Linked DNA regions of Caenorhabditis elegans. The protein of the gene in region 1 interacts with the protein of each later gene in a pairwise test. Each region holds a gene or a part of one and is shown in the gene's direction. Other genes may lie near its edges. The genes, in order: srh-87 and vglu-3.

Region 1 (3,700 bases):
AAGTTGGAAACAATGTGAATATGTCAAAAATTGCAACCGCAGCCATAATGAGATTTATGGAAGAGTTCCGCATAGCAGCACTGGTGAGAATTATGATATGGAAGGTATTAATCACTAAACTAGCAAATGATATTGTATACTCTTGGTGCATTATGATCGGAACGAATTCTCTGAAATTATTTGAAATATGGCTAAACGTGAAAAGGTGGTGCAGTCGAAATTGTTGTATCGCTTTATTAGACTCAAAATTGTTGGTAAACGCCGAATTTCATGATGAAACTTCTTGAAATCTTCTCAAAAAAATTATGGCGGCTCAAAAATGACATAACATTAGTCAGAATTTGAATTTTGACCGACTTGCCAATGTCGCAGCGGTTGGAAACTCTAATTAAGGGCGTTCAAATTAATTATCTTGCGTTTTTTAATCGATTTAGGTACATTTAAGGTTGATGATTACCAGATTTGGTAAAATTTGGTCACTTTTAAAACTATATTTTCAAAAGGTATATTTGTAATTTTGAACACATACTCCAAATTAAATAAAAAGTTGCACCAAAAAAGCGCTGACGATTTTGTATATTTTACTGACAGTGAGAGGTGATCAAGCAACCAGAACACGCCTAGAACTAAATTCCACCTTCCGTCGAGATACAGGAAATGTGAGTATTGCAATTTTATTGAATTAATCTAGCGCGGTAAAAATCAGAGATAGACTAGATCAGATTTACAAAATTAAGTTTAACAAAAATTTAATTTCTCTGGGCTCAAAAACACTGACTCAAAAACAAAACCCAACAAATGAGGCGTTCAGGTAATTTTCACAGGATGCAGTAGTAGTAATGTGCTACGGAAATAATTAGAAATCAAGAAGTGCTACTTGAAAAATTATTGGATATTTGGAGCCAATTGAATACCTATTGAATTTCTAAAAAATTATTGAATACATAACCAAAATTTAAAAAAAAATCAAGTATAAAAATTGAAAAAAAATTGTCAATTTTAATATATGTATACTGTTCCAACGCGATATATTAAATTCAACTTTTGAAAACATCGGGTCGGCTATTTGCACCACTGGACACGAACCGAGCCAAAATGCCAGCCGCGCCCGCCTTGCGGCTACCTCCGCCTGCCTCGCGCCGCCTGCATGTAGTGCGGCGCGGAACCTGAAAAGTGTCGGCCGCGGAGATAAAACCACCTTACACACTATGTGGTACAGAAATGAGGCGAGAGGCCTGCGGGCAGGTCGGCAGCAGGCTTGAGGCCCTACCGCGCCTGCCTCCCATGGAATCCCTACCGTTTTTTTTTACGATTAACACGCGGTAGATTTTTTTTGTATAACTGTTATGTTATTGATTCTGGATTTGTGTTTCTATCGAATTTGGCGAACGTATTCTGAAGTATTACGTATTCGGCAATTTCACTTCAAAACTTACAGCTTGTAAAACATTTTTCCTTTTCCTCGTTTTTGGAGTAATTATGAAAATAAATTGAAGTAATTATGAAAATATGAGTATATTGCTTTTGTAGGTTGGAAACAGAGGGTATTTGATGTTTCACAATGACCGTGCTTCCTCATTTACTCCACTAGGTTCTTAGTTGTCTTTATTTTTGTTGAGATAACCAACTGAGTCATCCTGTTCTCAGAAAACTTTTGTCATTTTTTGTTTATAGAAAACAACTGTCATATCGACCAAAAAACTGGGTTTATTCACTTCACAGTTTTTTTTTGTGAAAATCGTGTGAGCATGTCTAGTCTCCGTGAGTATTACTTAACAAACTATACAACATGTCCAAGATGCGATACGTTTTTGTGCTCTTGGCAAGACTTTTCTTACACTTCCCATTTTTTGACTGCATTTTCACTTCCAGTTTATCTTTTTGGAGGTTACTGTATCCTATACAAAAGCCCAAAGGAAATGTCAACCTATCGAATTCCGCTTTTCAATTTCCATGTTTGGTAAGTATACACATCACAAACATTGACTGTGCACATGTAGAAATATTCAGGACGTGTCTGGCGGATGTGTTTTTGAATTGCCTCGGGACACCATATATATTTCTTCCAACTCTCACGGGATTTTCAGTTGGCTTGTTGAACTTTTTGGGTGTCCCACCGAAAATTCAGGCTTGGCTGGCATTTCAGAGTCTGAATTGTAAGTTTAGGTATCCGGAAGTGTAGCAATCTGGAAGCTGGAACAGTTCCCATCAGATACATTTTAAAAATCCGCAGCCGACATTGAGCGAGATCGCGTCAGACCACACAGCGCGCAATCAATTTCACAAAATCAAAAAATTGTTTCAGTCATGTTATTATCTACAACAATATTGGTAGAAAATCGGAATAACGCAATTCCATTCAACAAGTTCAAAATAACTCGGAAAAGTACGAAAACTATTTACTATCTAACAAAACTACTGATTGGAGTATTTTACGCAGCATCATTCACATTTTTCATACCAGCAAACCAGGAAGAAGCACTCTTTAAAGTTCTCAGACGGCTTCCATGTCCTTCTCAAGACTTTTTCACGGCTTCCAATATTTTTGTATTGTGCATCGATGATTATCATATTCATTTTTTAATTGCCTTCACAGTATTAGGAGTTGTGGTAGAAGTGATTCAAATTTTGTTTTACTTGACATGTTGTGTCTACTATTTGTTTTTCTCGATTCGTTCGTTTACTTCAAAGACCACGAGAAAGTTGCAAATTAAATTTTTGGCAAGCATACTTCTACAAATTTCAATTCCTGTTTTGTTCATGTTACCGACCGCTTTTTATATTTGGTTTGCTGTTGATTTTAATTATTATAATCAAGGTTCGGAATAAATTTGTGGGTAAATTTAAACAAAAAACCAATTTTCCAGCATTAACCAATTTGTCAATTCTTCATGCTTCAATTCATGGCTTAATATCTACAGTCGCTGTACTCATTATACATCATCCTTATCGGCAGTTCGTTTTGTCATATTTCTGGAAATCTAAACCAAAACAACCCTTGAAAAATATCGATATAGATTCTGTGGTAATTACTCAAATTGTTATCAAATAATTTTTTCATAAAAGGAGTTTTTTTAATAAACTATGTTTTTTTACAAACCTTACCTTTTTTCCTACAAATCAACAAAGCCGAAGAGCAGTAGAATGCTCAAATATCACAACAGGGATGTGCTGAAATCGGAAATTTTTGACAACTTTGGCCATTGCTGGAGCAATTGCCACCCGGCCATGCTTCAAAGTGATGTCTGAACGTAGCCTGAAAATTAAGGGATAATTATCATTTCTGCAGCTTCCGTCTTCGATTTAATAATATATTTTTCTGAGACAATTCCCTTTTTTTAGTTCCAGCTTTTGAGTAAAATATTCGTTCTTCAATTCCTTCCGCAATAAATCAAAAAAAAAAATTAAATTTCTGGAGGCTTTCTGTTTTTCCATTCCTTTTGATATCAAAAAGTTTTTAGTTTTACAACAATGATTAGTGACAAATATCTTCAAATTGATTTTCCGGGCTTTGAGCATTCTACTGCTCGTCGGCTATACCGAATCGAAAGATATCTGGCGTAAGTGTCATATAAATCAAAAGAAAGGTATTTCAAGATCAGAGAGTTTCAGAGTTTTCACAGAGAAAGTTCTGTCATATGAGTCTATCATTTCAATTACTTGTATTTTGGTAAACATTTTACATTCTGCAATTCTGACA
Region 2 (5,822 bases), on another chromosome or scaffold:
TCCCTATACTGATCTCAATGTCCTTTACCATTTCTCCCGACTGACGGCCATGTCGTCGTAGTTCCTTGACAAACATGCAATTCCGATCACTTTAAAGGCGCATAGGGAGGAATTTTGTGTCTAACCCGGCAGATGTCGGATGTTTATTTTCATCCTCTCCTGCTTGAACTTGAAACTTTTTCAAATGTCTGTAGTCATTTTAATGTGTTCTTTCTGTCTTTTTTCAAACTAGTCACGTTTTATGCTCTTACCAATCAATACGACTCACTCGATTTTTATAAATTTGTTTTGAATTTCGCCCGAATTTTCAGATTTCAAGCGCCCGTCAAGTGTCGGTCGTTTTAACAACATTTGTTCACATAATGGTTGGTTTTTTTTCAGTATTATAACTAACGTTCAGTATTATAACTGAAAATTCCCGGAACAGTACTAACATTTTAGAAATTAGGATCTTAGAAATCTAGGACCCCGGTGAGCTGGAAGCCCAAGCCTATGAATTTAGGAACTTTAGTTTTGGGGTAGTAGGAAAAAGGTTCGTTCTATCTAAAAAAATAACATTTATTCCTGTTGAAAAGTTTTTAAAAGTCCACAAATAGTCCCTAAAAGTTGTAATTTGCCGAAAAAAACAATGATGCACGGCTCTGCTCGGCACCAACGAGAAATTATTTTTGTGTGATGGAGCTTCGAATCGACATTGCCAAAACTAAAAAAAACGACATTGCCAGAAAAAAACCTTTATTCAATCAAGGAAGCACAATGCATAATTAGAATACCTATAGTTCACAAACATTGTCCAACAATCTTCCGAACGGCTCGTTGTAGCCAATCTTCACGCCTTGTGAACTTGGGAACTTGACAACCACATTGCTCGACTTTCCTGGCTCAAGCTGAATCGTGTAGTTGACAACTCTTTCCGGCGTGATGGTCGCACCGACCGTCGGCTGCACACTTGCCTCGTCGACTTCCATGGCCTCTGGGCAGTTGAGAATAACCTGGAAAATGGGATTTTTAAACAAAAAATTTTACAATTTTTTTAAACGAAATACAAAAAAGACAAAAAATGTTTTACCTTGATTCTCGAATCCGTTGATCTGGGCAGCTGCTCACGAATCGTCAGAAGCACCGAATTTGGACGAAGATTGGTGACGACAGTGGCCTTCTCGGTGACCAGAGAGGTGACCTTCTTGTTGTGCTCCTGGTAGTTTCTCTCAGGCTTGTACTGGATACAGATGTTCGGGTCTACACCCAGCGAAATCTCAAACTTCTGTGAAGCAACCACGTCTCCAAACTCCTTCTTGTTCAAAAATTCACCGTCGAGGAAGATCGATGCCTGACCGGCGACGAGATGATAAACCGAGGTGTTCACCGAGTTGGCAGCGAGAAACGCAGCGGCATCCAATGATGGGACGGCCACGTTGGAGAGCTTTGTGTCGACAGTGAATTCTCCGATGTTCACTTTATGAAGTATTGCCAACCATTTGATTAGAACAAAACAAAGAACTCATTGTCATAAAAATACTCGATAAAAGTCGGCGAGATTTCGTTGAAAATAAACGCATTTTTCACTGATTTTTGAACTTCCCGCAAAACTAAATCATGAACTCACCGAAATACTGAACTTCTTAGGTTTAATAATTCACAGATCTTTATGAAATAATATTTCCTATTGAGCACTTAGCTTGAGCACCTAGCTTCAGATTGTTTCTTCGGGGACTTGTTTCAAATTTTAAACTCTTTTTAATTATATAACGAATTTTTTTAAAGTTCTAGAAGCTTCCAGTTGAATCAAAAAACTGAATTTTGAGGCAAGTTTTCGTCTAACATTTTTCAATTTTTGTCTAACATTTTTCATTACGAAATTGCCAATATGTGTTATCAAAAAGGCAACAGCTTGTGTCCATTAATCATTGTAGCCTGCGCATCCTACACTCCTCCCCTATCGGCCCCCGAAAACTTGGCGTTTACCAATCTTCTATCAGAGAATATTTTCCATACGTCTTTACTAACTACCTTATTTTTTAACAAATTTAATTTCATGCCGAACGGATCCATTAGAAACTGCGCAAATGCGGTAGCAGATACCGTTCGCCAAACGTTCTCCAGAAAGACTTGGGAGCATAAGGAACAGCTTCAAACTATTACTGAACAGGTTAGTTCAAGAATTTGATTTTTTTTTAAATTTTAGTGAGAAATTTGGATTTCAGAAAAAATTCTTCCTGCGAAAAGTGCGATGGCAAATTGCTATTCTAGCTCATTTCGGATTCGCGATTTCATTTGGAATACGGTCGAATTTCGGTGTCGCCAAGAATCGGATGGTCAATAATTTTACAGATGCATATGGAGAAGTTCATGTGAGTTGAATATACACCCGTGAAGTGTCGGATGCTTCAGTTAACGCTAGCAGTCTTGTAAGCCCTGTTAGCGTGAAACGTCGACTGTTGTCATAAATAAAAAGATCTTTTATTGAACCGGTTTTTTAATTTTCAGGAATCGGGAATTTCGGCAATTGCTGGTTTTTTCTATTTTCAGTAAATCAGCACTTTCGTAAATCAGCAAACCCGCGAATTGTCGGACGCTGGCCGTTTAATTTCAAACAATTTTCAAGCTATAACAATCATTAGAACAGTATTACATTTCCAGTAGGATACAATAGAAAATGTTCCCCAAACTTGGTCAGAGAACTGGTTTTCCGGTAATAAAAACTGATATTTAATGTTTTCTTTCTTCTTCAAAAGTTAGATTCGGGGGGTTATTCGATGAAAGGTTATCTTATCTTCTTTTTTTTGAACAGAGGGATCTTTGGAATCAGAAACTAAAGGATGATTACCTGGGAAACGTCGGTCACTTTGTTGGCCAGCAAGCTCCCCGCGAAATGTCGGCTGCTGAATTTTTATATTGTTTCCAGGAACGTGAATTCTTGTGGACAGGAGCTGAAGTTGGAATGATGGAGAGTTCTTTTTTCTATGGCTACGCTGCCTCCCAAATTCCCGCCGGTGTCCTAGCCGCCAAATTTGCACCGAACAAAATCTTCATGCTAGGAATTCTCGTCGCATCTTTCATGAACATACTCTCCGCGATTTCCTTCAACTTTCATCCGTACACTGACATTTTTGTGATGGTTGTTCAAGCTGTCCAGGGATTAGCGTTAGGGGTACTGTACCCTGCGATGCACGGAGTTTGGAAATTCTGGGCTCCGCCACTGGAAAGGTCCAAGCTCGCAACCACTGCCTTCACAGGGTCCTCAGTTGGTGTAATGACTGGGTTACCTGCCTCGGCGTACCTGGTCTCTCATTTTAGTTGGAGCACACCTTTTTATGTGTTTGGAGTTGTGGGAATTATATGGTCTCTTATATGGATGTACGTGTCATCTCATAGTCCGGAGACTCATGGATACATCAGCGATGATGAGAAGAAGCAGGTTACCGAGAAAATTGGAGATGTTGCAGTGAAGAATATGTCGGTAAGTCCATAGCGGCAGACGTCTTACAGTCTTGTGACAGAGCCGTAGGGTGACGGCCGCTGTTTGTCCGGCCGAAACTCTCTTCTTACCTCGGTATTTCAGCTCACAACACTACCATGGCGTGACATGATGACCTCCTCAGCTGTTTGGGCAATCATTATCTGCACATTTTGCCGCTCCTGGGGATTCTTCTTGCTCCTCGGAAATCAGCTGACCTATATGAAAGACGTCTTGCATATTGATATTAAAAACGTGCGTTTTTTCCGAAGTGGAGTAGGGGTACTGTAGGAGTACTGTAGTAGTACAGTACGATTACTTTAGATTTGAAAAAATGAGGATTTTTGAAACTTCTAATTTCCTAATATGAAGCCCTGGCCAATTTTTCAAAAATTTAGAAATCCCATCAGGTGTCGGCTGCTAAATTTAAAGTTACAGAGCGGATTCATCTCAATCTTTCCTCAATTTGGAATGTGTATCGTCACATTAGCCACCGGTCAACTCTGTGATTACCTAAGATCTTCTGGAAAAATGAGCACAGAAGCCGTCAGAAAATCAGTGAACACTTTTGGATTCACAGTTGAAGCAATGATGCTAGGATGTCTGGCGTTTGTTCGGGATCCTGTGATTGCGGTGACGTGCCTGGTCATCGCGTGTACCGGATCTGGATCCGTACTTTCTGGATTCAACGTCAACCATTTCGATATTGCTCCAAGGTATGCTCCGATCCTTATGGGAATTGCTAACGGGCTCGGAGCAGTTGCAGGAGTTGGAGGAATGGTAACGAATACGGTTACCTATCAGGTAAGGCTTCTGCAGTATTAATGTAGTTCCGCGATACTGTAAGATTACTGTAGGTTACAGTAGGTTTAGAGTAAAGTTACTGTAGGGTTTCTTTAGGTTACTATGAGATAAGTGTAGGGTTACTGTAGAGTTATTGTAGGATTACTGTAATATAGATAACTTTGTTGCAGAACCCAGATGGCTGGAAATGGGTCTTTCTTTTGGCCATGGCGATTGATATTTTTGGAGTAATTTTCTTCCTCATTTTCGCGAAGGGTGATGTTTTGGTGAGTTTTTTTTTGTTTTGGAATTCACAGAAAATCTATAAGTTCTGTTTCAGCCGTGGGCCCGCGAGCCGGAAAAGGAGGAAACGTTCAACGAGTTTGTTCGCAGAATGTGTAAGATTTGATATATATTGTGGTTTTTTACGATGCATGTATCTATAGATCAAATTTCAGCGATCAAAGTGAGAAGTTTGTCTAGAAAAACAAGGAATCGGGAAGGCGACACGAGTTATGAAAAGTGAGTTGACTTCTGTGATGTCTGTCACTCTGAAACAAAAATTTTCATTTCAGAATGGAAGAAGACTCGGAGATGAAGCCTTGCTCCAAAAAAGTAGAAGCTCGAGCTCCCGCTGAAAAATCTGAAAGTTCTTCGTGACTTTGCACTTATTCAATTTTTTGTACATTTTTTGACTGGCGATCTCTGTCGTAACATTGGCTGGAGTTTAAAAATCTGAGGTCTGACGAAATTCATATAAGATCTATAAATGAATGAAATTAATATAATTTGGAAACATTTTTCAATTCCACATCACTCCACAGCCCGTTCGTTCTCACATTCTTTGCTGTGCTCCGCCAGTCGTATTGGCTACTTGGGTGGTCTTCGTACCATAGGTTACCGTACTCGAACTGAAACAATGTTAACACTAACAAGTTTTAGTAAGAGCAGCCGACATTTCGCGGGTCGTCACGAGCCCGCGATATGTCGGTTGTTGGCTCATTTTGGTGCCACTGTGAATGTAGCCTGCTACGTGTCGGCTGCTTCTATTTTTTACAAAGCGGCGCAGCCAACACTTCGCGGGCCTCCGAATTTCTTTTATCGTGTACACCACGTGAACAACTTTTCTCAGTTTTCCCCTAAACATTTCAAGTGCAACTCACCACGAGCATTTTCTGTGGGGAACAGGTCACCCAGAATAGGTGCCCGTGAAGATCTGCAGCACACCAGGGATCATATGCCGGGTAGGTGTACTTGTATTTTATGTCATTGCCTTGAAAGAAAGGGGTTTTTTGAGAAACTTTAAAACTTCTGAAATTTAAGTTTTCAACAATTTTGCTTACCTGCCTACCTGCCTAGTGGATCTACAAAACCTACTTTCTGTAAAATTTCATTAGGGATAACAAGTTTTTTTCTTAAAAATTTCAATAAAACCCACTTGCTCCGCCGACCCAATTGATGACACTTCCGTTTTTGTGCACATCCTTATACATCAAAAATAAATCCATATTCACAATATACCCGGTTTTTGGGGTCACCGTGAGTTCATAGGAGTCATTAAGCTGAAAGAAAAGAAAGTTTG

What was found.
Region 2: the proteins of srh-87 (region 1) and vglu-3 interact in a two-hybrid assay, tested with the Caenorhabditis elegans proteins (one large-scale study listed by BioGRID).

What each region holds. Positions count from the first base shown.
Region 1 is NC_003283.11:2,943,731-2,947,430, reverse strand, and holds srh-87 (Serpentine Receptor, class H), read left to right. Parts: upstream 1-1,728; 5' UTR 1,729-1,748; coding exon 1,749-1,960; intron 1,961-2,010; coding exon 2,011-2,156; intron 2,157-2,305; coding exon 2,306-2,818; intron 2,819-2,867; coding exon 2,868-3,052; 3' UTR 3,053-3,054; downstream 3,055-3,700. Other genes in the region: srw-137 (G-protein coupled receptors family 1 profile domain-containing protein), read left to right, coding at 3,472-3,560, 3,613-3,700.
Region 2 is NC_003281.10:10,298,391-10,304,212, forward strand, and holds vglu-3 (putative vesicular glutamate transporter vglu-3), read left to right. Parts: upstream 1-1,987; 5' UTR 1,988-2,035; coding exon 2,036-2,149; intron 2,150-2,204; coding exon 2,205-2,351; intron 2,352-2,905; coding exon 2,906-3,460; intron 3,461-3,562; coding exon 3,563-3,712; intron 3,713-3,895; coding exon 3,896-4,261; intron 4,262-4,431; coding exon 4,432-4,527; intron 4,528-4,580; coding exon 4,581-4,638; intron 4,639-4,698; coding exon 4,699-4,762; intron 4,763-4,815; coding exon 4,816-4,900; 3' UTR 4,901-5,019; downstream 5,020-5,822. Other genes in the region: T07A5.1 (uncharacterized protein), read right to left, coding at 5,020-5,151, 5,404-5,513, 5,679-5,802.